Linked DNA regions of Pelodiscus sinensis. The protein of the gene in region 1 purifies or fractionates together with the protein of each later gene. This does not show direct contact. Links are inferred from orthologs where the notes say so. Each region holds a gene or a part of one and is shown in the gene's direction. Other genes may lie near its edges. The genes, in order: PTPN5, MAPK14, MAPK3 and ATP5PO.

What was found.
Region 2: the proteins of PTPN5 (region 1) and MAPK14 purify together in Homo sapiens (affinity purification with mass spectrometry; 3 studies listed by BioGRID and IntAct, with this or other methods). This does not show direct contact. The link is inferred for Pelodiscus sinensis from reciprocal best matches to the Homo sapiens genes PTPN5 and MAPK14.
Region 3: the proteins of PTPN5 (region 1) and MAPK3 purify together in Homo sapiens (affinity purification with mass spectrometry; 4 studies listed by BioGRID and IntAct, with this or other methods). This does not show direct contact. The link is inferred for Pelodiscus sinensis from reciprocal best matches to the Homo sapiens genes PTPN5 and MAPK3.
Region 4: the proteins of PTPN5 (region 1) and ATP5PO purify together in Homo sapiens (affinity purification with mass spectrometry; 3 studies listed by BioGRID and IntAct, with this or other methods). This does not show direct contact. The link is inferred for Pelodiscus sinensis from reciprocal best matches to the Homo sapiens genes PTPN5 and ATP5PO.

What each region holds. Positions count from the first base shown.
Region 1 is NC_134714.1:113,848,596-113,855,680, reverse strand, and holds the start of PTPN5 (tyrosine-protein phosphatase non-receptor type 5), read left to right. Parts: upstream 1-4,070; 5' UTR 4,071-4,186; intron 4,187-4,336; exon of another isoform or gene 4,337-4,452; intron 4,453-5,086; exon of another isoform or gene 5,087-5,367; intron 5,368-7,085. UniProt on the Homo sapiens protein: May regulate the activity of several effector molecules involved in synaptic plasticity and neuronal cell survival, including MAPKs, Src family kinases and NMDA receptors.
Region 2 is NC_134737.1:12,871,973-12,879,388, forward strand, and holds the start of MAPK14 (mitogen-activated protein kinase 14), read left to right. Parts: upstream 1-4,402; 5' UTR 4,403-4,883; coding exon 4,884-4,999; intron 5,000-7,416. Other genes in the region: SLC26A8 (testis anion transporter 1), read right to left, coding at 1,932-2,101. UniProt on the Homo sapiens protein: Serine/threonine kinase which acts as an essential component of the MAP kinase signal transduction pathway.
Region 3 is NW_027465967.1:94,757-102,140, reverse strand, and holds the start of MAPK3 (mitogen-activated protein kinase 3), read left to right. Parts: upstream 1-4,369; 5' UTR 4,370-4,476; coding exon 4,477-4,631; intron 4,632-4,712; coding exon 4,713-4,895; intron 4,896-5,009; coding exon 5,010-5,199; intron 5,200-7,367; coding exon 7,368-7,384. Other genes in the region: CORO1A (coronin-1A), read right to left, coding at 927-1,124.
Region 4 is NC_134711.1:183,989,602-183,997,572, reverse strand, and holds the start of ATP5PO (ATP synthase peripheral stalk subunit OSCP, mitochondrial), read left to right. Parts: upstream 1-4,954; 5' UTR 4,955-5,140; coding exon 5,141-5,170; intron 5,171-5,469; coding exon 5,470-5,520; intron 5,521-7,971. UniProt on the Homo sapiens protein: Subunit OSCP, of the mitochondrial membrane ATP synthase complex (F(1)F(0) ATP synthase or Complex V) that produces ATP from ADP in the presence of a proton gradient across the membrane which is generated by electron transport complexes of the respiratory chain.

The sequences.
Region 1 (7,085 bases):
GGAGCTAATTTGATTTATACCAGCTTTGAATCTGCTTCTGCATGACTACAGGGAAGAATCAGATTACACACCACCAAGTGCAGCTACCTCTGGGGTGCAACGTGCAAACAATATTCAACAACATTACCTGAGAGTTTAGAAAAAGTACTGTATTCAATTTAAACTGTAGGAGAGATATAGGTAAATAATAGTACTAGTGTTTCCATTCAAGAATTCCAAATAAGTATTACTAATATATAAAAATGCTAAATTTTAATTCAAGGATACTTTACAAATATTACCTATACCTCAGGGGCCAAATCGTTGGCTGAGGTAAATTAGTGTAGCTTCCTTGAGTTCAGTAGACTGCACCAAGTGAAGATGGGTACATAACTCATGTCGCCTTCCCACTCCTGCTAGTTATTAACACACACATGTTCACAGTCATGCTGGAAAGACATAAAAAGTGGGATGCTACAGGGGTCTGTTTTGGGACCCATTCTGTTCAATATCTTCATCAGTGATGCAGAGAGTACACTTATTAAGGCTACATCTACATTGCTCCTCTCTTGCAGAAAAGCCTATGCAAATGAAGCATAGATTAGCATATTGCCACTCTTTGTTTGCATAATTAATTAGGGTGTGTTTTTGCGCAAGAGGTTTTGTGCAAAAAGGAGCCGTGTAGACATTTTTCGAAGAACGCCTCTTGCGCAAGAAGGGGTTTTTGTTCAAAAAGGAGCAGTCTAGACAGCGCCTTTTTGTGCAAAAGCTTCTTGCACAAAAACGGTCCCTAATTAATTATGCAAAGGAAGCGTGGCAATATGCTAATCCACACTTTATTTGCATAGGTTTTTGCCCAAGAGAATTTCAGTGTAGATATAGCCCAAGTTTGCAGATGATACCAAGTTTGGAGGGATTGCAAGTACTTCAGAGGATAGGGTCATAATTCAGAATGATGTGGACAAACTGGAGAAATGGTCTGAGGTAAATAGGATGAAGTTAAATAAGGACAAATGCAAAGTACTCCATTTAGGAAGGAACAATCAGTTTCACACTTTCAGAATGAGAAGTGACTGTCTAGAAGGAGTTCCGCAGAAAGGGATCTAGAGGTAACAGTGGACCGGAAGCTAAATATTAGTCAGAAGTGTTTAGGTTTAGGTTGGACATTAGGAAAAGCTTCCTAACTGTCAGGGTGGTTAAACACTGGAATAAATTGTCTAGGGAGGTTGTGGAATCTCCATCTCTGGAGATATTTATGATCAAGTTGAATAGACATCTACCAGGGATGAGCTAGATCAGGGTGGACAATAATTTTTAATGGGGGGTCACTCCAAAAATTTGGAAAGTGGTTGAGGGCCACACTCTTCCATGATATCAATGGAGAAGGTGCAGGGATCTAGGATGGAATCTGGGTGCAGAAGGGAGCTTGGGGTAAGGCAGGGAGTTTGGGTGAATGAGGCAATTGTGACCTGGGACACTGGATTGGGATGCGGGGTGTTGGATTGTGACCTAGGGCAGGGAATTGGGGTACAGGAGGGGATGTAGGGATTTGGGTTGTAGGGCAGGAAGGGACTGTGATAGATTAGGGTGCCAGATCTGTGAGGGGATGTGGGTGCAGGAGGAGGCAAAGGATTTGAGTATGTGCAGTAAGGGACAGGAGTGGGGGGCAGAGGGCTAGAGAAGGGTGTGGCTGGGATGCCAGAGGCAGGGTGTGGCCAGGAGACTTACCAGCCAGCAGCTTGTTCCTGAATCAGCCTTCCTGCCAGCCAGTGTTCCCTCTAAGCTGGCTGGCAGCACAGCTTCACTGATGATTAACCAGCCCCTCCACTCCAAGTCAGCTCCATGCAGGGAGCCCTGAACCTCTGACTGAGTGGGGCTGATTAATCACCTGTGAAGCTGTGCTGCCTGGACACTGCTGCATGCTCCGCCCCTGCCCAGGCTGCAGCCATGTGCTTTGGAGCCCCTTGTGCTTCATGACTGCCTGTTATTGAAACAGGCAGCTCCCACTGGCCAGTTTCTGGACAGAAACCGGACAATTGGGTTGTGCTGGAGGGTTGGAGCAGCTCCTGAATCTTTCCCCTCTCCCCTCTGGACTCACAGTTTTTAAAGAAAAAACATCCTGCAGCTGCGTTACTGAGCAGCGTGCAGGTAGTGTCCGGATATGGTGGCTTGGCAGGCCGGACCCAGCCCACAGGCCGTATTTTGCCCAGGGCTGATCTAGATGGTGCTTGTCCTGCTGTGAGGGCAGGGGACTGGACTTGATGATCTCTCGAGGTCCCTTCTGGTTCTAGTGTTCTATGATTCTAAGACACAGCCCCCAACATCTCTAAGCTTTAAGTAAATAAGTGACGTGCCTGGGTCAGAACCCCTCACTGTGAATGCCAAATCTTTGGGGGAAGTTTTAATCTGTAAGTGTATCTTTAGCAAGCATGGTTCTATCCTTTTCACAAATGGCTGAATGGAGGAATACAGTAGTTAAGTGACTGTTCAGGGTCACAAAACAAGTAAACATCAAAGATGCAGAAAGAACCCCATCCTCATGCTCCCCCTTCCCGCCCACCCCCACCCCCTTTCCTGCTGTAACTTCTAGATAAGATTTTCAGATCAGATATTTTGGACCAGATCCTTAGCTGGCATAAAATGATGTAGCTCCATTGAAGCTGAGCAGATTTACATCTGAGGAAGGTCTGGTCCTGTGTGTCTATCTTAGACTTGTATCCTGCTATAGGTACCACATTGGTGGAGGGCTGCGCTATGCAGAACCCCATAGACATCAGTGAGGCTCACGACATAGAAGCCCACCAACTCCCTCATTTGCAGAACAGGGGCCTTAATGTGTAATGTTTCTCTCTGTTCCTGAGAGTGTGTGGACCTGTAAGCTTTGTGTGTGATTTGTGCCTAATGGTTGTGAATGTCTGTCTCCCTCTGTGTTTGTATCTCCCTCTCTCTCTCTCTGCCAGTAATGTATGCATGTCTCCCTTTGTGTGTGAGCATAATTTACGTCCGGTGTCTTTATATTATCCACATTTGTTTCTCTCTGTGTAACACTCTGTGTTGTGGTGTTATGTGCGCATTTGTCTGTGCCTGTGGCCTGTGGGTGTGCTGAACCAGGACACACTACTGCAGTAGAGGCTGTTGCTGCTGGAAGGGGGGGGGGGGGCGCTCCAGATGCTCTTGCTCCCTGGGGGCTGGAGTCTTTTTCTCTCTGGCCGCCCCCTGCTCCTGGGCGCTTCTGCACTCGGAATATTTCATTCATGCTTTCTCCTTCGCCATCGCGCTCCGATTCAGGGAAAACGTGTGTGTGGGCGGCCTTTGAAAGGCTCCCTGTCAATCAGGGCAGCGAGCTGAAAAGAAAGCGAGCGAGCGAGATGGGGAGAACGCGGCTTTCATGGGGGTGGTGGGCGGCTGTTGTTGCTGCTGCGCCAGCCTTGCAGCTCTTCCCAGGGGCATCTGCACAGACAGGGGGAGTCAGTCCTGCACCACACACCTGCTCTGTGGGGATCGCCTCCCCCATCTCTGGCTGTGAAACCATCTCAAACAATGAAGGGGGGAAACTTCCCTGCAGCAGAGGTTCTGCCTAGCTAGCCCCCAGGGTCCAGCCATGACTGAGCTGCCTTTGCCTTCCATGGGGCCGGAGGGGGGGAGGTTAGCAGCAGGCAGGCGGGGTTGGGGAGCTTGGCGCTGGGTGCTTTGCAGCCTTGGGATGCAGAGTCAGGAGGCGCGGGGCGCTTGGCAGTATGGAGAGGGGCTGCTGTGTGGAAGGAGGCTTCCCCATGGGGAACCGCGCTGAAGGGGTAGGGGCGGCTGGAGAGTCTTCGCAGGGTGTAACGGGAGCTACGGAGCCTTGCCCGGTGGCGGGGAGGATGCTTCGTGCCCGTGTAGTGGGGCTTTATACTGTGGAGGGGGTGTGACGCGGCTCAGGGGCTGGGGAAGTTTTGCATGGGGTGGCGTGTGGGGGGGGGGGGAGCGTTGCAGCTTCCAGGGGAACGAGACAGCAGCGTTTGCGGGCTGTGCAGGCTCGGGGGTTGCAATGGGGGGTGGAGCTCTGCCGTGTGCTAGGGGGACTGGCCGCGCGCGGCAGGGTGGGGGGCTTCGCCGCCTGCATGGAGCCGGAGGGGGGAGGGGGCTGCGCGCGGTGTGTGCAGGACACACACACATGCCCTCGCGTCGCCTTCCCGCTCCCTGCTGGGCTGCGCTCTCCTGCGGCGTGAGTGGGGCTCTTTGTGCGCCCGGAGCGGGGCCGGGGAGGCGGGGGGGGGGGGGGGAAAGGGGGCTGTGGCGCGCCGGGGCTGGGGGGCAGCATGCACTGCAGCGGCAGCGCTGCGGGGAGCCCTGGGGAAAGGAGGCGTGGGGAGGGGGGGAAGTAAGGCGAGAAGAGGCTGGTTGTGCAGCGCGGCGGCGGCTCCCGGGAGCTAGGGGACCAGCTTGCGCTGCACGGCTGGAGCGAGGGGCAAGATCGTGCTGCACTGGCTGGTTCGTGCGCGTTCGTCCGGGCTCTGTGTGTGTCTGTGTGTGTGTGTGCGCTGCACTGGATGCCTTCCCCCCCGCCGCGTCCCAGCTCCATCTCGCCCTGCTGGCTGCTCCGCCTGCTGCTGCTGCACGCTGAGCGATGCACCAGCAGCCTCAGCACCGGGCAGGGCTAGGGACCTGGAAGGGGGGAAAGGGGTTGCTTCACCTTGGAGGGCGAGCAGCCGCGAAATAAATCCCCATTGATGTTCAATAGGGTCTGTTTTTTGCGGGGGGGCGGGGGGGAGCCCAGGATGCAGGGCAGCAGCTCCGATTTCCCTGCATCTGGCTGTAAATTTGCAAGGACCATTAAAGGCGGACGGATGGATTCCGAGTGATCGATAAAACCCATTTTCTGCATCTCTGTTTACCTCCCTAGGCACCAATACTTAGGGGAGTGCGGACCACCCCTCCCCCCCGCTTTTCGTCCAGCCTTTTCCAGCTGCGAACTGGAGCTGGGGTTTTCTGGCGTATGTGTAGGGGGAGGGAATTGTTTTCAATAGAAAAAAATCAAAAGTAACGCGTTAAAAATACAAATCCAACCCAGGACGTCTAGTTGTTGAACGGGTCTTGCAGGCTAAACATAATGCAGCTGGCGGGACCCAGGGTTGGGGGAAAATGGGTTTCGAATCACATCCTGGGTGGTTAACCTGATAACTACTCACTGCAGTAAAATATTAACCACGGCAACAGCTTTGCGATGCTCTCCTGGAATAATGCTGCCTTGCGAACTGATGTGACAGTGAACGCCATGGTCGACTGTCACTTTCTTCTAGAAGGCAGTGCTGAGAGCAGGCTAGGAGAGGCACTGAAGTTCTGGGAAGCTGGGGACTGGAAGTTCTGGGAAGCTGTGCAGTTGCAGGTCTGCTTGGTGGATTGCTGGTAAGGGTTTTTGAGGGCACAAAGCAGAGGGTGGAACAGAACAGTGAGTGTAGCCAGTTTATTGGCTTGTTTACAGTTAAACAGTTTTAAAAACGTGGTGATTTTTCATACGGTCATCACAATGGAATAGGTCTTTCTGTAAAGGGGTAATTGTTACATCACAATTGGGAAAGAAGACTAAATCAGTATTTTAGATCTCTTGCATTACACAGTTATTACTACATTAAATTCCTTACATTGATTTTAGTAGAGCGATTCCGATTGACAGCACCTGGAGGATCTGGGCCCTTTGCATGTTTTAGATTAATCTATGACAGATTTCAAAGTAATGCCTGAGCAATATCCTCTCTTTGTGTCATGATAGCCATGTGTACTTAGGGCAGCATTTGTTGGCTCCACTCAGATCAAACAGTTTAAGAACTTTACTTCTTGAATGAATCATATACATTAACAATTAGATTCAGATCGCTAATACAGAGCTCTCATAGACTTCAGTAGGCAGGGTATTCATCACTCAAGGCAAAATTTTGTCCTTTGATATTTTAATCCAACATAAACCTCTACACTTGTTTTCTGACATCCAATTATGAATGCAGAGATGAGCAGACAGTATAACACTTTTAAAGATAATTGTATCGAAACATTGGGTTTAAAAGATTTATAGTAGAGTCACTTCCACTTAATGCCTCAGGGGTCTTATGTTCTAGTTGCAATCAGTGGGCATTTTGCCATTGACTTACTTGGGAGCGGAATGGGAACCCACGAACCGGGTGTTTTAAACACATATATACAAGATGACTCCCACAATCAAGCATTTGGACCCTAAATGTGTGACTTTGTTTTGCTAAAATGAATTAGGAGGAGTTCTCTTTCACAGTACTGATCTTTGGTAGAGACCCACTGTCCAGGCGGAGTATAGCATTACTGCCAGTAATTTGAGGTCTGAACCTGTAAAGAACATTCATTACAAGTTACAATGAGATCTGCCAGCTAGATGTCATACAGATGAAGCAAGAATGTTTAATAGCATTTAAACTGTGACCACATACATCGATGGAACACTGTTAAACTAAAATGAGACAGAAAATGCCTTTTTCCATCTAACTAAAATAAAGCCAAATCCTTTGCTAAAATGTCACGGGTGTATTTATATGCCACTTTTTTTAGCCCAGGCCCTGATATTTCCATGAGACAAGGGCCATTTTGCTGTGTAGAATTTTAAAAAATGCAAAGAAATAAAAGGAAGCCCATCTCCATGTTTCTTAACTTTGCAGTGTGCTAGAGCTCAGTTGATTGGTTGAAAAAAGGAGGGTTAAGCGGTAGCCATGGGAGGACATGTCTACACTAGGAAATTATTTCAAAATAATTTATTTTGAAATAATAACTCCTGAAATAACTATTTCAAAATAGCATGTCCACACTACAGGGAAGCCTCAAAATTAGTCTGAGGCAGACTCCCTTAATGTGGACATGCTACCTCAACTTAGAGCCCCAAGAAGCACTTTAGGGAGTCATTACTTTGAATGACTTTGGGGAGTAGTTATTTTAAAATAGCAGCAGAGTGTCCATGCTACTGCTATTTCAAAATAGCTGTTTTGAAATAAACGTTTTTCCTCGTGGAAAGCAGGAGTTATTACTTCGAAGTAACCAGACCCTTATTTTGAAATAACGGGCTTGGTAGTAGTAGTGTAGACCAGGGCAGAGAGACCCCTGGAGGC
Region 2 (7,416 bases), on another chromosome or scaffold:
ACTATGTTCTGTAATATGGGAATGGCAGACTAATGGATGTCAGACTTAATGTTCTTAAGAATGTAAGTACAGCCATACTAGGATTAGACTAATGGTCCAGGTTAGGGATGTAATAGTGTAGTCGATTAACCGATTAATCAATAAGCACAAGCTTACAGATTAATGCTATAGACTACACGCATTTCCCTCTCCCATTCCCTTGCAAGTAAATATTTTAGCAGGCTGGCCAGCAGCCCAGCTCAGTCCTGGCTCACGCCGGGTCCGGGACCTAACCCTCCTGTGGCTCTTCATTTAAAGTATATTACGAGTCAGGCAGCCCAACTTAGTTCTGGCTTGTGCTGTGTCCAGGCGCTCCGACCCCCCTAGATAGGGTCTGCTGCTACCCCAAGCTGCTGTGGACCAGTTCCTGCCTGGCACCTCGTGCTGCTGCCTCTGATACAGAGGTTGCCAGCCCCGCCAGCAAGGGGACTATTGACTAGTTGACTACCCGATAAGAATTCATGAGGTTACTCGACTATTCAATTAACCGATATTTAACATCCCTAGTCCATGTAAACCTAATACCTTGTCCTCTAACAGTAATCAGTGCTAGATGCTTTGGAAGGAGTGAACAGAACCAAGTAGGTCTGCTGTCGAGTGGTGGTGGTGGCAGCAAAGGGCAACTGCTCTCAGGCCCAGTGATTCAAAAGAGCCTGGGACTTCCAGCCACCGCTGCCACAGCAGCATCCAGAGCCCTGGACGCTTTAAATCGCCACTGGAGCGCCCAGGTGGCATATAAGTCCGGAATGGGAAGAACAGGCTGGGGTTATATTAACTGATACTGAATGTGCATACTCACCTTACCCATCCTAGCAGGAATATCACAGTGCAGCAACACAGCTACAGAGTAAGGCAGAAGGAAGGTAGTACAAGTTCTGCCATACTCTTAGGAAATCTTATCTCTAGTCGGGAACTGAACGTGGTACTTGAGAGAATTTAAACAAAATAGCAAACACAATTGCCAGAAAAAAACCAGTGTAACTTTTTGTCTGTGGCTGCCAGCTAGGATTGAAGGAAGGTGCAGAGGAGTCTGAAACAATTAGCAGAATCCATCCACACTATGCAGAGGTACTCCATTATCACAACGGTGAAATGAACAGACTATTGTGGTTTGTTGGAAGCGACTCTCCCAGTGCTGTGGTAAGCTTGACTCACATGGCCTTAGACGTGGGTGACCCCCTGCACACTATCATTTGGGGTAGGGGTGAGGAACCTTTTTTGGGTCGGGGGCTGGTGACCTACAGAAAATTTAGTGGGTGAAAAGTGCAAATCTCCACCCAACTCTCACTGACATGGCCCCCAAATGAGAAGCAGAAAGACACTCCCCACATCCTCCTCACACGCCAGAGCCTAAGGGGGGTCCAGGCTAGTAGATTTTGTGTGCTCAAGCCCTGTGGTGAGGTGGTAGGGATGGGGGGGGGGAGGCAGGGGTAGAGTGCTAGTGTGGTCACCCCAGTGCTGGGGGCAGGAAGGGAGTCATGAGCCAAGGGGGCTGGATTCATACAATCTGGGGGCTGCATCCTGCCCCCAGGTTCCCCACCCCTGATTTGTGGGCACTAAATCTTCCATTCAGAAGTCACATATCCTTGTTTGGTGTATGTGTTTTTCTCAACACTTTTGCTTGATGACTTTTGTTTTGTTTTGCTTGGTTGTTTGGAGGGCCACAAAAACATTTTCCATCTTGGGTGGCAAACACATACAGCAGTCTCTGCTTAGCTGCTCCAAACACAGAGCACTGGTTTGGCACTTTGATTCGGTTTGTATCAGTCCCCTCTGTGTTTTTGTACTGAGCTGTGGGCAGCAGGAGGGTCAGTAGTTGCGTTTAGATTGGTACCTGACCAGGCTCCTCAGCTTCTTCATATCTGCTAAATAATTCCTGGCATATTACTCACCGGCAGTGTACCCTTCGTTGGACTCGGGGGAATATGAAGTCCCTGTTCCTTAGGGAGGGTGTGTTTCTCTCATAGTTCTTTTGAAAGTGCTCCTCAGTGTATATGCCTCTCTTGATTTTGTACTTCCCTAGCTGCCTGGGAGCACTGACAGTCTCAGCATCTGGCTCCATGCAGTCACCCTGATCATGGACAGTCAAAAACACAGGAATAATGAAGGCAAGAGGAAGGAATCAAAGCCACTGACATTACCCATGACACTGAAGATAAAAAGGAGGGTCATTGAACTGGAGTGTCCCATTGAAAAGAAATGTTTAAATGACTAAGCCCAGGGAAAAATCCATCTCTGATGTAACTCCATCTGAGAAGGGTGCTGAAACAATTTGTACAAGGGGGGGGGGGTTCTTCTGAGAGCCATTGAACCACACTGTGACGCCTGTAATGGCCACCACTTCAAACCTGGCGGTGCAGCATCACCAGCACTTGTGCACCCACGCCGCGGGTGTCATGCCAGGGCAGTGTGGCCGGGAGGTCCTCTGTCCACGGAGCAATGGTGGCATAAGTGGCAGTGGTGTTAGCTCCCCCTCTGCTGTTGCAGCCCCCAGGGCCACTTCATTGGGGGTCACAGGACTCCTGTCCACAGATCCCTGTGGCCGGGCAGCTCTACAAAGGGACTGGGGGGCACTGACCCCGGCTCCCTGCCGGCCCCCCCCACTGGCCCGGCCCTGGGCGGGGACAAACTCCGCGCATGCTGCCGGGAACAGGGGACCCCCGCGCTCACCTGCGGCAGCCTGAGCTTCGAGACACGCGGGGCCGCCGGGCCTGGCCAACTGCCAACCCCGGGGCGGGGCGCGCGGTGCTCGGGATACTCCCCCCGCTCCTCCGCGGCGGCCAGACCCCCCCCCCATGGAGCGCCCGGCTCCGCTCCCCCCAGCGCCACGGGGAGCCCGGTCTGACCCCCCCCTCGGGGCTGTGCACTGGGTAGCGGGATGAATGGACACGTACCCGCTGCACGCCGCGGCGCGTAACGCACCAACCAGCCACCCCCCAGCCGGTGTTTTAATGCCCCCTCGCAACGCAGGTCGTGGGTGTCGGCTGCACCCCCCCCCCCTTTTCCAAGCCGCGGGGTGACTGCGGGGCCCAGCCACCCGGGGAAACGTGCACGAGAGAAACACAGGAACGGGGACTGCACCCCCCCCCCCCCCCCCGCGTCCAACCAAGGGGGCGCTGCGCTCAGCCGCTGCGGGGCCGTCCAGGGAGGCGCGTCCGTCTGGGGCAACAGCGCCTCTAAGCGTCCTCCCCGCCTGCCCAGGGAAATCCAGCGGGGTCCAGGCGAGGCCCCCGCCCGTGACCGGCAGCCTGGCCCCGTGACAGTCCCCCCGCTGGTGCCTGACTGAGCGCGGGCCTGTTCTCAGCACAGGCCGAAGCCCCACGGACTTGAACAGGGGCCTGCAGCCCAGCCCGTAGCAAGGTGCGGGCGTGAGAACTGCCCCCCCCCCCCCCAAGGCAGGGGCACAGTGCCCAGAAGGGGACACGGCAGACACACTGGGGCAGTGGCAGTGCCCCCCCAGGCAGAAGCAGGGGCACAGTGCCCCCCCCAAGGCAGGGGCGGGCGGGAGGCGGCAGACACACTGGGGCAGGGGCAGTACCCCCCCCAGGCAGAGGCAGGGGCGGGGACGTGTCCCCCCCCAGGCAGAGGCAGAGTACCCCCCCCCCGGCAGAGACAGGGGCACAGTGCCCAGAAGGGGACACAGCAGACACACTGGGGCAGTGGCAGTGCCCCCCCCCAGGCAGAGACAAGGGCACAGTGCCCCCCCAGGCAGAGGCAGGGGCACAGTGCCCCCCCCAGGCAGAGGCACAGTGCCCCCCCCAGGCAGGGGCACAGTGCCCCCCCCAGGCAGGGGCACAGTGCCCCCCCCAGGCAGGGGCACAGTGCCCCCCCCAGGCAGAGGCACAGTGCCCCCCCCAGGCAGGGGCAGAGTGCCCCCCCAGGCAGGGGCAGGGGCACAGTGCCCCCCCCCCCAGGCAGGGGCAGGGGCAGAGTGCCCCCCCAGGCAGGGGCAGGGGCAGAGTGCCCCCCCCGGCAGAGGCAGGGGCACAGTGCCCCCCCCGGCAGAGGCAGAGGCACAGTGCCCCCCCCGGCAGAGGCAGGGGCACAGTGCCCCCCCCAGCAGAGGCGGGCGGGAGGGGACGCGGCAGACACACTGGGGCAGGGGCGGGCACTGGCTCTGCACGGCCGCGGGGACGTGGCCAGCCGCCAGGGCTGGGCAGCCAGGCCGGGCCCCGCGCCAGCGTCCTCCCCTGCGGCCAGGCCGCGCGGCTCTGCCTCGCTCCGCCCCCCGCCGGGTCGCGGGTCGCTCTCGCGAGACAGGAGCGCCCGGCCGCTGGTTCCATATTGGGTCATAGCCGCTCTTCGCGCCTAGGCTCTCGCGAGGCGGGGCCAGGGGAGGGGGCGCGATCGATTGGTCTGCGCTCCGGGAGGAGCAGGCGGCGCCGCCTGACGCAGCCTGGGCAGTGCCACTGGGCCGGGAGGGGGAGGTCACTCCGGCATCGCCCGCGTCGCCTGCCCTGGTCTGTTTGTGAGAGGAGTCCCCCCCCCCCCCCCGCCACCAACTCACATCTGGTGCCTTTAAGGACCCCCCCCCTTTCCTCCCGTCCACGCGCTGTCCCGCCCCGTGGGGTGACAGCGCCGCGGGGCGCGTGAGGAGAATCCCAGCCCAGCTAGCGCGAGACAGCCCCGGGCGCCGCTGCACGAGACACCCCCCGGCCCGGGGCGCGCGGAGGCTGCCAACGGGGCCCGGCCCGGGCCGTGCTGAGGGAGCTCGGAGCGGGGGGGGGGAGGGGAGGTGCAGACCTGTCCCCTCTCTAGGGGGCAGGGGAGGAGGCGTCCCTGCTGGGGCCGCTGGCGGAGTCCCCCCTCCCGCCTGGCCGGGCGGGGCGGGCCGCGGAGCCGCGATGACTCTGGAGCGGCCCAAGTTCTACCGGCAGGAGCTGAACAAGACGGTCTGGGAGGTGCCCGAGCGCTACCAGAACCTGTCCCCGGTGGGCTCCGGGGCCTACGGCTCCGTCTGGTGAGTGTGTGGGGGGGTGTCTGCCAGCCTGAGCTGCACCCCTTCCTCAGCGGGCTCCGCTCTCGGCCTGGGGGGGTAGGGAGTCTGGCCTGGCTTCTCCCCCGCTCCTGCATGCCGGCGGGCGGTGCACGTGCAGGGCGCTGAATGAGTTGAAGGGGAGCTGGGGGGGACCCCCTCAGCTCGGGGGGGGACCCCCTCAGCTCGGGGGGGGACCCCCTCAGCTCGCTGGGGTTCATTCCCCGCCTTCTGCCCCCGGTCTGATTGAATCGGCCTTGCCCACGGGGGATTTTCATCCCTGGGTTAGTGGAGAAACCGCTGCAGAACTAGTGTCTGGCTGGTGCTGTGCCCCAGATGGCACCGCATGACAGGGGCTGGTAAACGCAATTTCAGAGTCTTGTCTAATATTCCCTCTAGTCTTTTCTGTTCATGGACCATTTTTTCTAACCATGAGCTGAATAAATTTGTATGTGAACCAAGACATGTAGAAGTGGTGAGGGAGCTCGGAGGCGGCCCGAGGTCCCCTGAGGGGAGGTGCAGACCTGTCCCCTCTCTAGGTCCCTAAGTCCCCATCACATCATTGGAAACAAAACCTAGCTGTAAGCACTGTGAATCAGCTCATTGGCATTGAATCTCTTTAGTACAGTTTACAGGGAACACTCCTCTTGTCCCCCTTTTCCTCCAGGATATTAATGCACAAACTTTCCTCCTCCCCCACTTGAGTTACTGAAAGGTGGAGTGTGCCAAATCCCTGCAATTTGCTTTGTAGAACAGGATGACAGTTTCATCTTGGAGCTGCAGAACAAGTTGCATTTGGGGTAACTTTAAAGAGTGATTGGTTGTTATGTGACAATGAGATGGTGGAAAAGGTTGTGAGGTTCTCTTTTTTGCCTTGCCAGCAGTGCTTTTACAGGTAACAATTGGGCATGGGAGGTTAACAGAGGGGAAATTTTGTGGTCTTTCCTGATTGAGAAAATTAGGCATTAGTCCTGCTGTCAGATCTGTGAAAGCGTGGACATAACCCCAAAGAAAAATATTCTGGTCTTTAATCCTTAGTTAAACTAATACAGATAAGATGTGTATAACCAATACACACAAGACGTGTATCTATAGTTTGAATTGCTTGTAATTACAGCAGCATAATCAAAGATGCTGAGCTCCCATGGTATATCAAGTATTTTTGCTCATTTGCTAATGCAACAGTACTTATTAGTTTTGTTCTTCAATAATATAAAAAAAGAAATGAGTTGATCTACTTGACTATCCTCAGTGGTGTTGTCAAATCACAGTGATGCATGAAAGCTTTTTTAGGTGGCTTTACCGTTTTTTAAAAGATACATTAATGCTGTATGAACACATATAGTGTCTAAAGTTTTTCACCCACTATGTCAAACCCCGATAAAGATTTTGTAATAGTGCTTCCACACAATGGTCTCCTAATTTGTGATGTGAGCATGCATTAATGAAGTTATATGCAATTTGTAAATTTATACCTATAGTGCAGGGCTCACAATAAATATGAATGAAGAAAAGTAATTGCTATGTATATATTGTAGCTTTAAAAAAACCTGTCAGATGTTTGCTTTTAAAAAAGGCTGATTATATTCTACAATATTGTTCCATTTAAATAAGATCTATTAAAACTGCTTTGTTTGTAGTAAAGTATATTAAGCATTTGTCTTTTATACTTTGTATAAAGGTTAAACAGGTTCTAGCAGCATGAATAATTGGTATGACAGCTGACTAACCGAATGCATTCCCCCTAAATTTTTGGTATAGAAATGCTAAGTGTAATTGTAGTACAGGCAGTCCCCGGGTTACATGGATCCGACTTACATCGGATCCCTACTTACAAATGGGGTGAGGCAACCCCGCACTAGCTGCTTCCCCCCCAGCAGACCAGGGAGACGCGAAGCTAGCCCCGCCCCCCCAGCAGATCAGGGAGATGCGGAGCGGCTTTTCTCAGCAGACACCTCAGCTTGAGAATAAAGGATTGAGGGAAGTGAGGTGTGGGAGAATAAAACTGAGCTCTGGAGAAATGTTTGGCTAGAGTTTCCCCTACAATATGTACCAGTTCCGACTTACATACAAATTCAACTTAAGAACAAACCTACAGTCCCTATCTTGTACGTAACCCGGGGACTGCCTGTACTGTACTAAGATAAGAGCTTGACCTTGCTGGTTGATGATTATTTCCTGAGATGATGAGTTGAGGGTGCTCAGTGCCTTGCAGCAGGGTCAACACTAGAAATATAATGAGCAAGATCTCCTCCTACTTCCAAACCCCCATTGTGCTTTCAAAAAAAAAATGCTTGCATTACTTAAAAATATTTCCTTCCATTACCCATATAACATAAGGATTTGCATCATTAACTTCCTGTTTCAGAGTGTCGGAACCTTCAGAGATTGTGCAATTGCAT
Region 3 (7,384 bases), on another chromosome or scaffold:
GGCAGGGCCAGGCTGTGACAAGCAACCCAGCTCCCGTGCCCCTGCAGTGCCCACAGCAGGCGACATGAGCCCCTCCCCCCAGTGGGCAGCCAACCTGAGAGCAGGGCAGTCTGGCAGCAGGGCGGGGGCCGGGCCTGCCTCAGCCCTCCTGGGCACCAGCCTCAGGCCTGGCTCTCCCCTCACGCCCCTCCCGCCTCGTCCCATGGTCCTGCCACGGGGAAAGTTGGGCCCACGAACCCAGCAGTCCCATGACAACCTTACCCGGGCATTGTGCAAAGGGGGCACTGGGGGGCACTGGGGGGGCAGGGGCTGCAGTGGGGGGCGCTGGGGGCAGAGCTGGACCGGCAGGGGCTGGGGGGCGGGTGTGGGGAGTGGGACGGAGGGGGAGGGGCTGAGGCGCTCTGCTCCCGTCTTTCCCATCACGATGGAAGTCACAAGGTGCCGCGTTCTGGGAGCCGAGGGTCCCTCCAAAGCCGCATCCTGCCCCGGCCTCCCCCCGGGCCAGGGAAGGACACAGGGCCCTTTGTAGCTGCACCACAGACCTTTATTCCCCCGGCGCCCCCGCCCCTGCTCCATTTCTGGGGCTCCTGGCTACGGTGACCCAGGTGTGGCTGCCACGGCTCCGAGAACCAGGACGGGGGGCTGGGCTGTGGTGTCCCAGACCTGCCCCCTCCCCGCAAACCCACTTCCCCTTTTACACGGCTGCTTCCGCCCCCGCTTCACGTTTGGAGCCATTTAAGGCAAAAATGTCAAGATCTGCATGTTCGGCGGTTTCACAAAACAGCCCCCCCCCCCCCCCCCGGAAACAGAAAGGGGGGGGCAGACAGTTACCTAAGAAGCGCAGGGCGGGGCTGGCGAGGGGCCCCGGCAGGGCTGGGCCGGCAGAGGGGGGAGGGGGTCACTAGCAGGGATGGGGGCGGGGTTACCTTAGCCAGGGGCAGCACCATGAAGGCCCCTCCCCCACTGGCCTCCACGACAATGGCCAGGAACTTGGGGTTGACGGTGCAGAAGCCGCTGTCCCAGGTGGTCTGCGAGACGCGCACGTCGTCGTAGGACTGGTCGGCCTTCGCCGGCTGCCCGAAGACGTGGCGGAACTTGCTGCTGCGCACCACCTGCCGGCTCATGGCGGCTGGGGGAGACGCGCCGTTAGTGCTGCCCTCGCGCCCGCCGCCGCCTGCCCGGCCGCCGCCCCTCGCGCCCGCCGCCGCCTGCCCGGCCGCCGCCCCTCGCGCCCGCCGCCGCCTGCCCGGCCGCCGCCCCTCGCGCCCGCCGCCGCCCCCTGCCCGGCCGCCGCCCCTCGCGCCCCGCCGTCGCCTGCCCGGCCGCCGCCCCCTGCCCGGCCGCCGCCCCTCGCGCCCGCCGTCGCCTGCCCGGCCGCCGCCCCTCGCGCCCGCCGCCGCCGCCTGCCCGGCCGCCGCCCCCTGCCCGGCCACCGCCCCTCGCGCCCGCCGCCCCCTGCCCGGCCGCCGCCCCTCGCTCCCACCCCCCCCATCCCCCTGCCCGGCCGCTGCCCCTCACTCCAGCCCCGCCACCACTCTGCCCCTCACTCCAGCCCAGCTGCCCTGCCACCCCGTCGCTGCCCCTCACTCCAGCCCGGCCATTGCCCCTCTCTCCCACCCTGCCGCTATCCCTTGCTCCTGCCCCACCACCCTCTGCCTGGCTGCTGCCCTGGCTCTACCTGTAGGTAACTGGGTGTAGCAGCATCACTCTGCAGAGACGGGAAGGGTCAGCCGAGAGGGCCCAGGACCTCCCTCCCTCCCACCCACCGGCCAGAGCAAGAACCCAGGAGCCTGGCTTCCCCCTCCCCCCCCCCGCTCTAACCATCAGACCCCACTGCCCTGCCCAGGGCCAGAACCCAGGAGTCCTGGCTCCCCCCCGCCCCGCTCTAACCATCAGATCCCACTGCCCTGCCCAGGGCCAGAACCCAGGAGTCCTGGCTCCCCCCCGCCCCGCTCTAACCATCAGATCCCACTGCCCTGCCCAGGGCAAGAACCCAGGAGTCCTGGCTCCCCCCCCCCCCCCCGCTCTAACCATCAGACCCCACTGCCTCTGCTCTCACCAGTTCCAGGCACTCTGGTGTGACAGTGAATCTGGAGGCTGAAACCAGCACCTTTTAAGGGTGGGGGTGGGGCCTCCCAGGGATAGCACAGCCTGGGGGGGGAGGGGCCAGGACACTCCCTCCCACTTCCCAGCCAGGGGCTGGGCGGGAATCCGCTGCCAGTGGCAGAGGGGTATGAGCCTGGGCACAGGGACCCCACCCCCCGCCTGTCCCCCCGTGCCCTGCTTGGGCCCATTTAGCTCCCCCCCACCTGCATCCCCTTACACACACCCATCTCCCCATGCCCTGTCTCGGCTCACCTAGATACACCCTCCCACCTCCACCCCCTTACACCCCCACGTGTCCCCCCAGCATCCCCTTACCCCCCCACCAGTCCCCCATGCCCTGCCTGGGACCCCTAACTACCCCCCACCAGCATCCCCTTCCACCCCCCCACCAGTCCCCCATGCCCTGCCTGGGACCCCTAACTACCCCCCACCAGTCCCCCATGCCCTGCCTGGGACCCCTAACTACCCCCCACCAGCATCCCCTTCCACCCCCCCACCTGTCCCCCATGCCCTGCCTGGGACCCCTAACTACCCCCCACCAGCATCCCCTTCCACCCCCCCACCAGTCCCCCATGCCCTGCCTGGGACCCCTAACTACCCCCCACCAGCATCCCCTTCCACCCCCCCACCAGTCCCCCATGCCCTGCCTGGGACCCCTAACTACCCCTCACCAGCATCCCCTTCCACCCCCCCACCTGTCCCCCATGCCCTGCCTGGGACCCCTAACTACCCCCCACCAGCATCCCCTTCCACCCCCCCACCTGTCCCCCATGCCCTGCCTGGGACCCCTAACTACCCCTCACCAGCATCCCCTTCCACCCCCCCACCTGTGCCCCATGCCCTGCCTGGGACCCCTAACTACCCCTCACCAGCATTCCCTTGCACCCCCCCCACCTGTCCCCCATGCCCTGCCTGGGACCCCTAACTCCCCCTCACCAGCATCCCCTTCCACCCCCCCACCTGTCCCCCATGCCCTGCCTGGGACCCCTAACTACCCCTCACCAGCATTCCCTTGCACCCCCCCATCTGTCCCCCATGCCCTGCCTGGGACCCCTAACTACCCCTCACCAGCATCCCCTTCCACCCCCCCACCTGTCCCCCATGCCCTGCCTCGGACCCCTAACTACCCCTCACCAGCATCCCCTTCCACCCCCCCACCTGTCCCCCATGCCCTGCCTGGGACCCCTAACTACCCGTCACCAGCATCCCCTTCCACCCCCCCACCTGTCCCCCATGCCCTGCCTCGGACCCCTAACTACCCCTCACCAGCATCCCCTTCCACCCCCCCACCTGTCCCCCATGCCCTGCCTCGGACCCCTAACTACCCCTCACCAGCATCCCCTTCCACCCCCCCACCTGTCCCCCATGCCCTGCCTGGGACCCCTAACTACCCCTCACCAGCATCCCCTTGCACCCCCCCACCTGTCCCCCATGCCCTGCTTGGGACCCCTAACTACCCCCCACCAGCCCCGGGGCTGAGGCTGGGGGGTGTTGGGAAATCAGACCCGGGGGGCCCTGAGGCTGGGGGGGGGGGAGGGGCCGGGGAATCAGACCCGGGGGGCCTTGAGGCTGGGGGGGGAGGGGCCGGGGAATCAAACCCGGGGGGCCCTGAGGCTGGGGGGGGGAGGGGCCGGGGAATCAGACCCGGGGGGCCCTGAGGCTGGGGGGGGGGCCGGGGAATCAGACCCGGGGGCCCTGAGGCTGGGGGGGGGGGAGGGGCCGGGGAATCAGACCCGGGGGGCCTTGAGGCTGGGGGGGGAGGGGCCGGGGAATCAGACCCGGGGGGCCCTGAGGCTGGGGGGGGGGGAGGGGCCGGGGAATCAGACCCGGGGGGCCCTGAGGCTGCGGGGGGGGGAGGGGCCGGGGAATCAGACCCGGGGGGCCTGAGGCTGGGGGGGGGGAGGGGCCGGGGAATCAGACCCGGGGGGCCCTGAGGCTGGGGGGGGGGAGGGGCCGGGGAATCAGACCCGGGGGGCCCTGAGGCTGGGGGGGGGGGGAGGGGCCGGGGAATCAGACCCGGGGGGCCCTGAGGCTGGGGGGGGGGGCCGGGGAACACCCGGCAAGGTGCCGGCGTGGGCAGGGGCGTGGCCAGGTGGAACAGTGGGCGTGGTCGGAGAGGAGCTCCTCGAGCGAGGGCGTGGCCTAGTACCGTAGACTGGGTCTGGGGGCGGGGCCTAAAGCGGCAGAAGCGAATGACAGGGCACAGCACTTCCGCCTTTCGATGACGTCAGAAGCAGCGCTCCAATCCGGGCGCGTAGCGGATGGCGGCGACGTGACGCGGGCCGTCGGGCAGCCCGTGCGCCTGCGCAGAGCCGTCGGGCGGGGCGGTTCCGGGTGCGGCTGCGGCAGCGGGATCGGAGCGCAGCGGCCATGGCGGCGGCGACAGCGGCGGCCCCGGGGGGGCCCGGGCCGGTGCCGGGGGCGCCCAAGCTGGGGGTGGAGTCGGTGAAGGGGCAGGTGTTCGACGTGGGGCCGCGCTACACGGACCTGCAGTACATCGGGGAGGGGGCGTACGGCATGGTCTGGTGAGCGCCCCCCCGCCGCCCGGGCCCCCCCCCCCGGGGCTGCGGGGCGCGGCGCTAACCCCGCCCCTCCCGTCCCCGCAGCTCCGCCTACGACCACGTGAGCAAGGCGCGCGCGGCCATCAAGAAGATCAGCCCGTTCGAGCACCAGACGTACTGCCAGCGCACGCTGCGCGAGATCAAGATCCTGCTGCGCTTCCGCCACGAGAACATCATCGGCATCAACGACGTGCTGCGCGCCGCCGCCATCGAGCACATGCGCGACGTGTATCCTGCCCCGCCCCTGCGCGCGCCCGCGCCGGCCCCTGCGCGCGCCCGCGCGCCCCGCCCCCCGCGCGCGCCCCGCCCCGCGGCCGTTGTGCCCCTTGACCCCGCCCCCAGCTACATCGTGCAGGACCTGATGGAGACCGACCTGTACAAGCTGCTGAAGACGCAGCAGCTGAGCAACGACCACATCTGCTACTTCCTGTACCAGATCCTGCGCGGCCTCAAGTACATCCACTCGGCCAACGTGCTGCACCGCGACCTCAAGCCCAGCAACCTGCTCATCAACACCACGTGCGACCTCAAGGTGGGCCCGCCCCGCCCCCTCGGCCCCGCCCCGCCCCCGCCCCCTCGGCCCCGCCCCGCCCCCGGCCAGTCCAACGTGCTGCACCGCGACCTCAAGCCCAGCAACCTGCTCATCAACACCACGTGCGACCTCAAGGTGGGCCCGCCCCGCCCCCGCCCCCGCCCCCTCGGCCCCGCCCCCGGCCAGTCCAACGTGCTGCACCGCGACCTCAAGCCCAGCAACCTGCTCATCAACACCACGTGCGACCTCAAGGTGGGCCCGCCCCGCCCCTCGGCCCCGCCCCTCCGCCCCGCCCCTCCCCGCCCCCGGCCAGTCCAACGTGCTGCACCGCGACCTCAAGCCCAGCAACCTGCTCATCAACACCACGTGCGACCTCAAGGTGGGCCCGCCCCGGCCCCGCCCCTCGGCCCCGCCCCCGGCCAGTCCAACGTGCTGCACCGCGACCTCAAGCCCAGCAACCTGCTCATCAACACCACGTGCGACCTCAAGGTGGGCCCGCCCCGCCCCTCGGCCCCGCCCCCGCCCCGCCCCCGCCCCGCCCCCGGCCAGTCCAACGTGCTGCACCGCGACCTCAAGCCCAGCAACCTGCTCATCAACACCACGTGCGACCTCAAGGTGGGCCCGCCCCGGCCCCGCCCCTCGGCCCCGCCCCCTCCGCCCCGCCCCCGGCCAGTCCAACGTGCTGCACCGTGACCTCAAGCCCAGCAACCTGCTCATCAACACCACGTGCGACCTCAAGGTGGGCCCGCCCCGGCCCCGCCCCTCGGCCCTGCCCCCTCCGCCCCGCCCCCGGCCAGTCCAACGTGCTGCACCGCGACCTCAAGCCCAGCAACCTGCTCATCAACACCACGTGCGACCTCAAGGTGGGCCCGCCCCGCCCCCGCCCCCGCCCCTCGGCCCCGCCCCCTCCGCCCCGCCCCCGGCCAGTCCAACGTGCTGCACCGCGACCTCAAGCCCAGCAACCTGCTCATCAACACCACGTGCGACCTCAAGGTGGGCCCGCCCCGCCCCTCGGCCCCGCCCCCGCCCCTCGGCCCCCGCCCCCGGCCAGTCCAACGTGCTGCACCGCGACCTCAAGCCCAGCAACCTGCTCATCAACACCACGTGCGACCTCAAGGTGGGCCCGCCTCGGCCCCGCCCCCTCGGCCCCGCCCCGCCCCCGGCCAGTCCAACGTGCTGCACCGTGACCTCAAGCCCAGCAACCTGCTCATCAACACCACGTGCGACCTCAAGGTGGCCCCGCCCCGGCCCCGCCCCTCGGCCCCGCCCCCTCCGCCCCGCCCCCCGGCCAGTCCAACGTGCTGCACCGTGACCTCAAGCCCAGCAACCTGCTCATCAACACCACGTGCGACCTCAAGGTGGGCCCGCCCCGGCCCCGCCCCTCGGCCCTGCCCCCTCCGCCCCGCCCCCGGCCAGTCCAACGTGCTGCACCGCGACCTCAAGCCCAGCAACCTGCTCATCAACACCACCGTGCGACCTCAAGGTGGGCCCGCCCCGCCCCCTCCGCCCCGCCCCTCCCCGCCCCCGGCCAGTCCAACGTGCTGCACCGCGACCTCAAGCCCAGCAACCTGCTCATCAACACCACGTGCGACCTCAAGGTGGCCCCCGCCCGCCCCGCCCCGGCCCCGCCCCCTCCGCCCCGCCCCCAGCCAGTCCAACGTGCTGCACCGTGACCTCAAGCCCAGCAACCTGCTCATCAACACCACGTGCGACCTCAAGGTGGGCCCGCCCCAGCCCCGCCCCTCGGCCCTGCCCCCTCCGCCCCGCCCCCGGCCAGTCCAACGTGCTGCACCGCGACCTCAAGCCCAGCAACCTGCTCATCAAACACCACGTGCGACCTCAAGGTGGGCCCGCCCTCGGCCCCGCCCCTCTCAGCTCCCACCCCGCCCCTGGTGGCGTGTCCCACCCCCAACCAGCCATAGGCCCCGCCCCCGGCTGCACACCCCCAACCAGCCCTCAGTCATGACCATGCCTCTGACCCCATCCAGCCCTCGGTCACACCCCACCCCGTCCCCAACCAGCCCTCAGCCCTGCTGCACGCACACCCCCGCACTGCGCCCCACCCCCACCGATCCCCCTTCACACCTCCCTGTGTCTCTGCCTCCACTGCTGCGTTCCCTGGGCTCCAGGGGGGCGGGCAGCTCAGCTAACCTTCCTCCCCGCTGCAGATCTGTGACTTTGGGCT
Region 4 (7,971 bases), on another chromosome or scaffold:
CAATAAGTCCATGAGCAGAGTAAACACTAATGTGTTTCCTCAACCAATCAGAATCTAGTTTCTATTTAAAAAAAAAATGAAAACACAGAAAAAAAAATACGGGAATAGGGATTGGAAAAATTATACAAGAATAAACCTGCAAAAATATGCTATGCCAGAGCAAGTAGCAGTAGAGATCATTCTGGCACTCTGTGCCACAAACATTCATTAAACTCATTGTTACAAATTCAAGGCCTCATTGTGTAGCAATAAAGATGGATTATGATAAACAACTGACTCAGAGATTTATTACTGCTTTTTAAGGAAGTGAATAAGACTATATGTCATTTATATGCAGTCTGCACTAAGAACATTCCTAAGGCATTGACAACAGAAAGGATGTAAAAAAAAAAATTTCAGATATATAGATAGAATGCAAAATTCATTTTTATGCTTTTCAAGATGGTATCCAGATTTGACCCCTTTGTGGCAAAGCAGATATTGCTCAACCTAGTTAGGACAGAATAATATGAGGACATTAACATTCAGATATTAAAATATTGCAAGAGAACCCAGTTAAATCTTTACACTGAATGCAAAGACATTATACTTAGCACTTTAAGTTTCAAATTTGTATTTACATTTAAGTTTAATATTTGAGGATTTTGCTTCCCTAATTTACATACCCAATTTGTGATGTCTTTTATCATCCCTGGCCAATAATAGTGTGAGATCAGCAGAATTCTCATGTTAACTACTCTTTGATGTCTGCTCTGTAGACTATCATGATACTGTTCAAGAAGTCATAAGGGTTGTTTCATGGTGTGTACAACTGCAACCTTTATTCCTTCTGCAGAATGGCAGAATGTCTCCTCTGCTAATCAGAGATTAAGCTTTGCACTTTAAAAAAATCAGATATTTTCAAAGACATATAATATAAGAGATATCTGGATATAGTATGGATTATCAAGGCTTGAATATAAAGGAATTTCACTATGTGGTTAAAATTACATGTTGAAATTTATTTAATACTAGAACTCATTACTCAGTGAACGTATATGGGTTGTTACCGTTTGTGGTTACACTGGATAACATACTTAAGAAATACAAAGTTAAAGGATTTTTTTGTTAATATTTATAATTTATGTTCATTTCCATGTAACTGACAAATACATTTGTTACATTGCTTCCATATGTAGCTAACGAGATTTTCTAAGAAGTTTGAAGAAAGACAGTGATCCTAATCATAGCCCCATTGAAAGTAAGGTTAACACTTCAAATAATCCCAGCGTTGGGAAGGCAGGGATCAGGATCGTCACCTATATGCTGAAAATTCCATTGTATTCTGTTTCTTTATTATATGAAAAAAATATTGCTTGCCTTTTAAAGAAAAGTTGGCAGAAAATAGACATAAGTTAAACCTACCCATTTTAATTGTTCCTTTAAGATGTGTTACTTCTCTTATACGTCAAAACCTCTGCAATTTTCACCTGAAAAGATTTCCCCGAGTATTGTTCACAGAAGAAAACATTTCACACAGTTAACATTTACAAAATAGCAAACATGTAGTATCTAGCCATATAATAAGACTTTATTTTGTAAGTATGATGTGTAAATTGCAGACACAAGCAGGGTAAGCCAAACTCAAAAATGCAGCATTCCAAGGCCAATCATAAGAGTGATGGATGTAAATTTGTGCTATGTGCATAAAGTTAGATCACCTTTAAGATTTTAGCCAATTAAAGTCTTAATAGCTCAAGACATGAAATATAACAGCACAAAAATATGAATTTCCAAAAAAAATTGGTTAGCAGGCATCTGGTTTTCAACTACAAAACCCAGTCAAAAAGAGACTGGCAGCTCTGGCTGGCACTGCCAAACAGGAGGTTAAAAGTTCAACTGGCAACGCAGAGAGAGCCTGGGGCTAAGGCAGGCTCCCTACTCGCCCTTGCTCCACATCAGGGCTGGCCTTACCATGAGGCGAACTGAAGCAGACACCTCAGGTGCCAGACTGGAGGATAGGGGGCACCACTAGGATAGAAAATTGTGTCTGCTGCTGGTGCATATGTAGGTAGCAGAGCAGTCCCATGAGAGGAATAGAACAGGAAGAAGGCACAACTGAGACCTTTCAAAGTTTTGGCCCAAGCGAGGGGGCATGGGGGCATCATTTGAGCTCCCTGCCTCAGGTGCCACATGGCCCTGCTCCACATGGAAACAGAAAGCATTTCCCTCCAGCTCTTAGGGGAAGATTTGGTGACCATTTGTCCCGTTTTTAACAGGACAGTACCTTATTTAAGCTGTTTTGCTGGTGTCCTGACTTTAAAAAAAGCGGGAGGGGGGCAATTATCCTGTGTTTCTGCTCCCCCTGCTGGTCAATGTGCAGCAGAGGCCTCCTGTTTGTAGCTGGCAGATGATTGCAGGCAGGCGGTGGCCAGCAGATGGTGCTCTCAGGCAGGGTGCAGAGGCAGAAAGACAGGAAACCAGTAGGAGAGCCAGCCCCCTTTTCTCACACAACTATTAGTATTAACTATTTATAACAAAAAAAATCCATTCTACCTTGTTTTTAGTTGAGAAACTTCTAACTGACCATAGTAACCTAGTGTTGCAAGTTTCCAGAGTGCAATCTATATTCACTTCTTCCTTATCAGTGCAGCTGTCATTTTGGCAAGTTCAGGAATGTAGCCTTGCGCATTCAAAGGTTCTGCAGACACTGCTGATCATCCCAAACCTGTATTACAACCCAATCTCACCAGCTGGAATTTGTTTCTCAGGCCCAGAACCATTACTCCACCATCTGCAGCTGCTCTGTGAATGCCACCACCAAGTGTGAATTGATCGTTGCTATGTCCCACAGCAATCTCTCCTGCATGGAATCATCTCCCTCAATGTCTATTCTCCAGACTCAGTAAATACTGCAGGATTACACAGCTTGCAATGCTCATGCCAATAGTGCAGAGTTATGCAGGTTCTATGCTTCTACCAGAGGTGACAGACAGTGAGGACGGCCATGCAGGTTTGTGGAATTTAGGGAAAATGGTGCAAAAATGATGTATAATGTTACATATGGACAATGTATGAAATTAGGGCATGGTGAACACTGCATTATGGGAAGCTGATCTCTTGATCCTAGTCACCCCAGTGCAACCCATTTTGGTCCCAGTACAGGTTGCCAAAACTTCCCAAAAATACAGTGCTGGATGGTGGCAAGTTGCACAGTGAGCTATCTATGCTGCTCCATGTTCTGAATCAATATAAGTGGTTCTGGTGAGTACACTCACCACTGACACAAAAAGTTAATAATGGCACATGCCACCGTGACATATTAATTGTGGCAATTCTATGCTGATGTAACTTTTGTTAACATAAGTTTGCTGCATAGATATGGCCTTTGTTATACGCAATGTTTGGAAGTAGCAACAGGAAAAGTATGCAATGGGTTTCAAGAGTCATTCAGGTGTTCAAGTTCCTGCTTTTGTGGAGCTGGCCCTAAAGGTTTTGGAACAAAGAGGCATAATAGAACACAATATAATTTATTTTGTTAAAAATTTAATTACATGAAGGTATATATCTCATGATTTTGTAATTCTTGTGGTTGTCAAGCTATGTCAAGGTTGTAGCTCTGTGCTTATGTTGTGAAGGCCAAAACTATAACTGGGTTCAAAAATAATTAGATAAGTTCCTCAGGATAGGTCCATTAGTGGCTATTAGCCAAGATGAGCAGGGATGCAATTCCTCTCTAGGTGCCCCTAAACCTTTGACTGACAGATGCTGAAAGTGGATGAGAGGGGTTGAATCACTTGACTGCCTATTGTAGTCCTTCTTTGGAAGCACATTGGAAGACAAGATATTGGGCTAGGAGAATTAGTTTAACCAGATAAAGTCAACCTTTTGTTCAGCAAAAATTAAAATAGGTTTTTGCCTTTGAGAATGATTTAATATGATAGTATACTGTCCCTTACTGACTATTTGAGAATGAAGTTTTACACACAAGAAATGAGATGCAAAAAAGCATTGAGGGCTGGAGTGAGGCAAAATAGCAGTTGCAAAAGGCAATTCTCTTTAATGGATCAAATGAAAACAAAGTTTTGACACCAGGCTAGGCAATCTATCCGACTGGCAGCTACAATGATCCATCCGAATAAACTTGTGCTATCAAAACAAGAAGTGAAAAGCAAAAATTCCAAAATAAAAATCACAATAAAATATATAGTAAAGCTATTCTAGAAACACGGCTGTCATTGCTAAAGCCACTAGCAACTATTTACTTGTAAGTACTTTCAATGAATATTTACTATGCACATAGGCATCCACTCTGCAGTTGCACCTGGAGGATCCAAGGGGGAAAAGAAGAACTGGCGCTTACGAGTAGCTGCGGGTGCTTTGCAGAGAGCTGCTCTCTTGTAAGTCTGTGCTACCGGTAGCAGTTTCTGATCCGGCCGCCAGCTGTTCTGCAGCTTGCAGGGGCGGGGCAGGGGCTGGAAGAGGCGGGGGCGCTGGGGAAGGGGTGCAGCGCAAGGAGCGGCGCGGAGGCAGCAGAAGCCGGGTGGCCGCGCTGAGAGCAGCACGCGGCGCGGGTGGCAGGCAGCGCGAGGCAAAGGCGCCCCGCTGCGCAGCCAAGCGATTGTTAGCAGGGGCGGCAGCGGGGCAGCGATTTGCCTCCCTGCAGAACTGACGCGCATGGGCACAGCAGGGCCAATGGTTAGCCAGCGGGGCCCTGCGCCCCGCCCCGTAGCGCCTGCCCCGGGCGTAACTCCTCCCCCTCCCACCACTTCGCTCCTCCGCCCCGCCCCGCCCTCTGCTGTACAGCGCAGGCGGCAGAACCCGACCCTAAGTAAGGGCGGGGCAAGAGCAGCGGTTTTGGGATTGTTACCGCGCATGCTCAGTCGAACCCAAACGGCACCACATTCTTTCTACGCCTGACGTAGGTAGTGTGGGGACGTCTCGGGGCTTCCGTACCCGGCTCATAGCCCCGCAGCGTGGGCTCTTTCCGCCTGGCGGCTCACGTCACGTTCTCCGCGCCGCCCGCTGATGAACTACAATTCCCAGGAGTGAGCGGGGCTGCAAGACTCGCTCTCCCAGCGTGCCCCGCAGCGGAGTGTGCGCATGCGTCCTGGCCGCTACCGAGCCAGGGCCCCGCTTTGACCTACAGTAGCAGGAGACGATGGCGGCGGCCGCGGGGCTCCCGGGGAAGGTGACCGGCAGCGCCGCCCCCGCATCCGGGCTCGCGGGGAGGAACAGGGCCTGCCCCCCCCCCCCCCCCAGTCCAACGGTTCCTCGGCGGCCGTTGTCGCCCCCCCACCCGCGAGCCAGGCTCGGGCTCCTGGCTTCGGCGGGACGTGGGGGAGGCGGGTTCGCTCGGGCTCGCCAGGCGGCCCCGGGGGGTGGCGCGTGGCCCAAGCGCGGGCGGGAACCCGGGGTCGCACGCGCCGGGCCTCGGGCCTTTCCCTCCGGAGTCGCCTAACTCGAGTTTTCCGTCTCGCCCTCCTCCAGCTGCGCTTCTTCAGCACCGCCCTCGCCCGGCCCGCCGCGCCGCTCGTCAAGGTGCGTCCGCTCGCTCCCCCGCCCGGCCCCTTCCCCCGCCCCGAGCTTCGCTGCCCCGGGGCGCGAGTGCGGCAGCGCCGCTGGCTGGGGACAGGCAAGTGCCGCTGTGCGCGCCTAGGGGGACTGCCAAGAGCGTCTGTGCCGCCCGCACCTGAAAGGCGGCACCGGCTTCAATGGGGACGCCTGGCGTGGAACAGACTTAAACCCCTGGAGTGCCCTGGAATAGCAAGTAAAATGCAGGACTATGTAGCACTTTAAAGACTAACAAGATGGTTTATTAGATGATGAGCTTTCGTGGGCCAGACCCACTTGCTCAGATCAAAATGGAATAGCAACGCTGCTTAACTGAGCTGCCTATAAGTTATGTTAACGCAGCTTATGGTTAAGCTGGTTATTTTTGGTTGAGTTTCTCTTGTAATTCTGAGATGTGAAAAAATGAAGTATCATATTGCTGCCAGCTTTTGACTCTTCCGTGTTGTTCCTTTCTGGTATCACCCCTTGACAGAGTAGGTGAATGACGGGGTAGAACCCTTTTTTCAGTACATGCCTCCTAACCCCATACTGTCTGTTGAGTACTAGGAGGGATTTTCTGTGTGTCTGTACCTTCCAGTGTAGCAGCAGCAGCAGAAATGCTTTCTATCAAAAACGGAATTCCTTTTACCAGGGCTTCCTGTTTAAAGTGATTTGAGTGACCACTCTGCTGCAATCCTTCTGGCATTCTAACTAATTGAAACTGTTTTAACTGTGTGAAGTTAAGCTTGATGATTCTACCAAAGAACTGTTCAGAAAACTGAGTTAAATAGTGTATTTACTGGGGTCAAGATTTTCAAGTGATTAGTAACTTTGGGTGACCAGCATAACATTAATAAAGGACCCAGCATCAAGGATGGAAGAGGGGCTGCTAGGAAGGTAATATAAGATAGGGACAAAGAGCAGCCTGAGCCACCTGTTTGCGTGGTGCTGAGACTTTCTAAGTTTGAGGGCTCTGAGAACTGCCTTTGCTGTATTGATATGGGCTTTCTGTTTTACACTAGTGACTGAGTATCAGAGGAGTAGCTGTGTTAGTCTGATCTGCAAAAGCGGCGAGGAGTCCTGTGGCACCTTATAGACTAACTGAAGTGTAGGAGCATAAGCTTTCGTGGGCAAAGACCCACTTCGTCTGCATCTGACAAAGTGGGTCTTTGCCCACGAAAGCTTATGCTCCAACACTTCAGTTAGTCTATAAGGTGCCACAGGATTCCTCTCCACTAGTGACTGAGACTCGATTAGTCACTACCTTCTCCCCCCCCTCACCTCCACCAGAGGCAGCAAGTAGAGGTGGAGCAGGAGCAGGAGCTGGTGCTGGGGGAAGCCGGCTTAAAATCCAGTTGCCCCTAGCGCTGTCTCTGGGGGGCAGGGGAAGCAGAGGCACAGCGGGGGAAACAGTGCTAGTGGGATTTAAGCAGTCCCCGCTCATGGCTGCTATTTCCACTGCAGCGTTTCAACACTGTTGGGCTCTTGCTACATTTCAAAGGCTGAAGTGCCACAGTGGGATCATGGGGTGAGTGGGAACTGCTTGAGCCCCCCACTTGCCCGGTGCTCCCTGCGGTGCGCCCCCCTCCCCCCCCCCCCGGAATACAAGCCAGTGCTAGGGGGAACCAACTTAAAAGTTGAATCCTCCCAACAGTGTCTCCGGGGTGTTCTCACATCTTCTCTCCCCCCCCCCCCCCAATCAGAGGCAGCGGGGGGGGGGGGAGGAATATGGGGGCCCCTGTCTGTTGGAGCAGCCTCTGTTCAAAGCAGCCAGGACTAGTTGTGGGCAGGAGCTACTAGATTCCACACAAGCTGGGACCAAGTAGTCCCAGCTGGCATGGTTGCTGTGCCTCTACATTTTAAATGTAAGACCCCAGGGGCTCTTACTACAGTAAACTTCTGATAATATGGCACCTTTAGGACCCAGGAGGTGCCGGATTATCAGATTTGCCGGACTATCGTAAGGGGGGGGCTATGAGGAGTCTGGGGTGGGGGGATGCCACCCCAGGCCCCTCATAGCCCCCCCCTTACGATAGTCCGGCTCTGTCCCAGGCGTCCCTGATTCAGCTGCTGCTGGTCAGTTTCAGCAGCGGCTGAATCGGGACACCTGCAGCAGAGCAGCTGGAGTGCTGCCGGGTTGGTCCGGTAGTGCCGATCCTTGGCACGGCGAGACCAACCCGGCAGCCCCCCAGCTGCTCTGCCCCAGGTGTCGTGATTCTGCCGCTGCTGAAACTGACCAGTGGCTGACTCCGGGAAGCCTGAGGCAGAGTTGCTGTGCCCCAGGCTTCCTGGAATCAGCCCCTGATCAGTTTCAGCAGCGGCTGACTTGGGTACACCTAGGACAGAGCAGCTAGGGCACTGCTGGATTAGTCTGGTAGCACCAACCCTTGGCACTGCGAGACCAACCCAGCAGCACTCCAGCTGCTCTGTCCCAGGTGT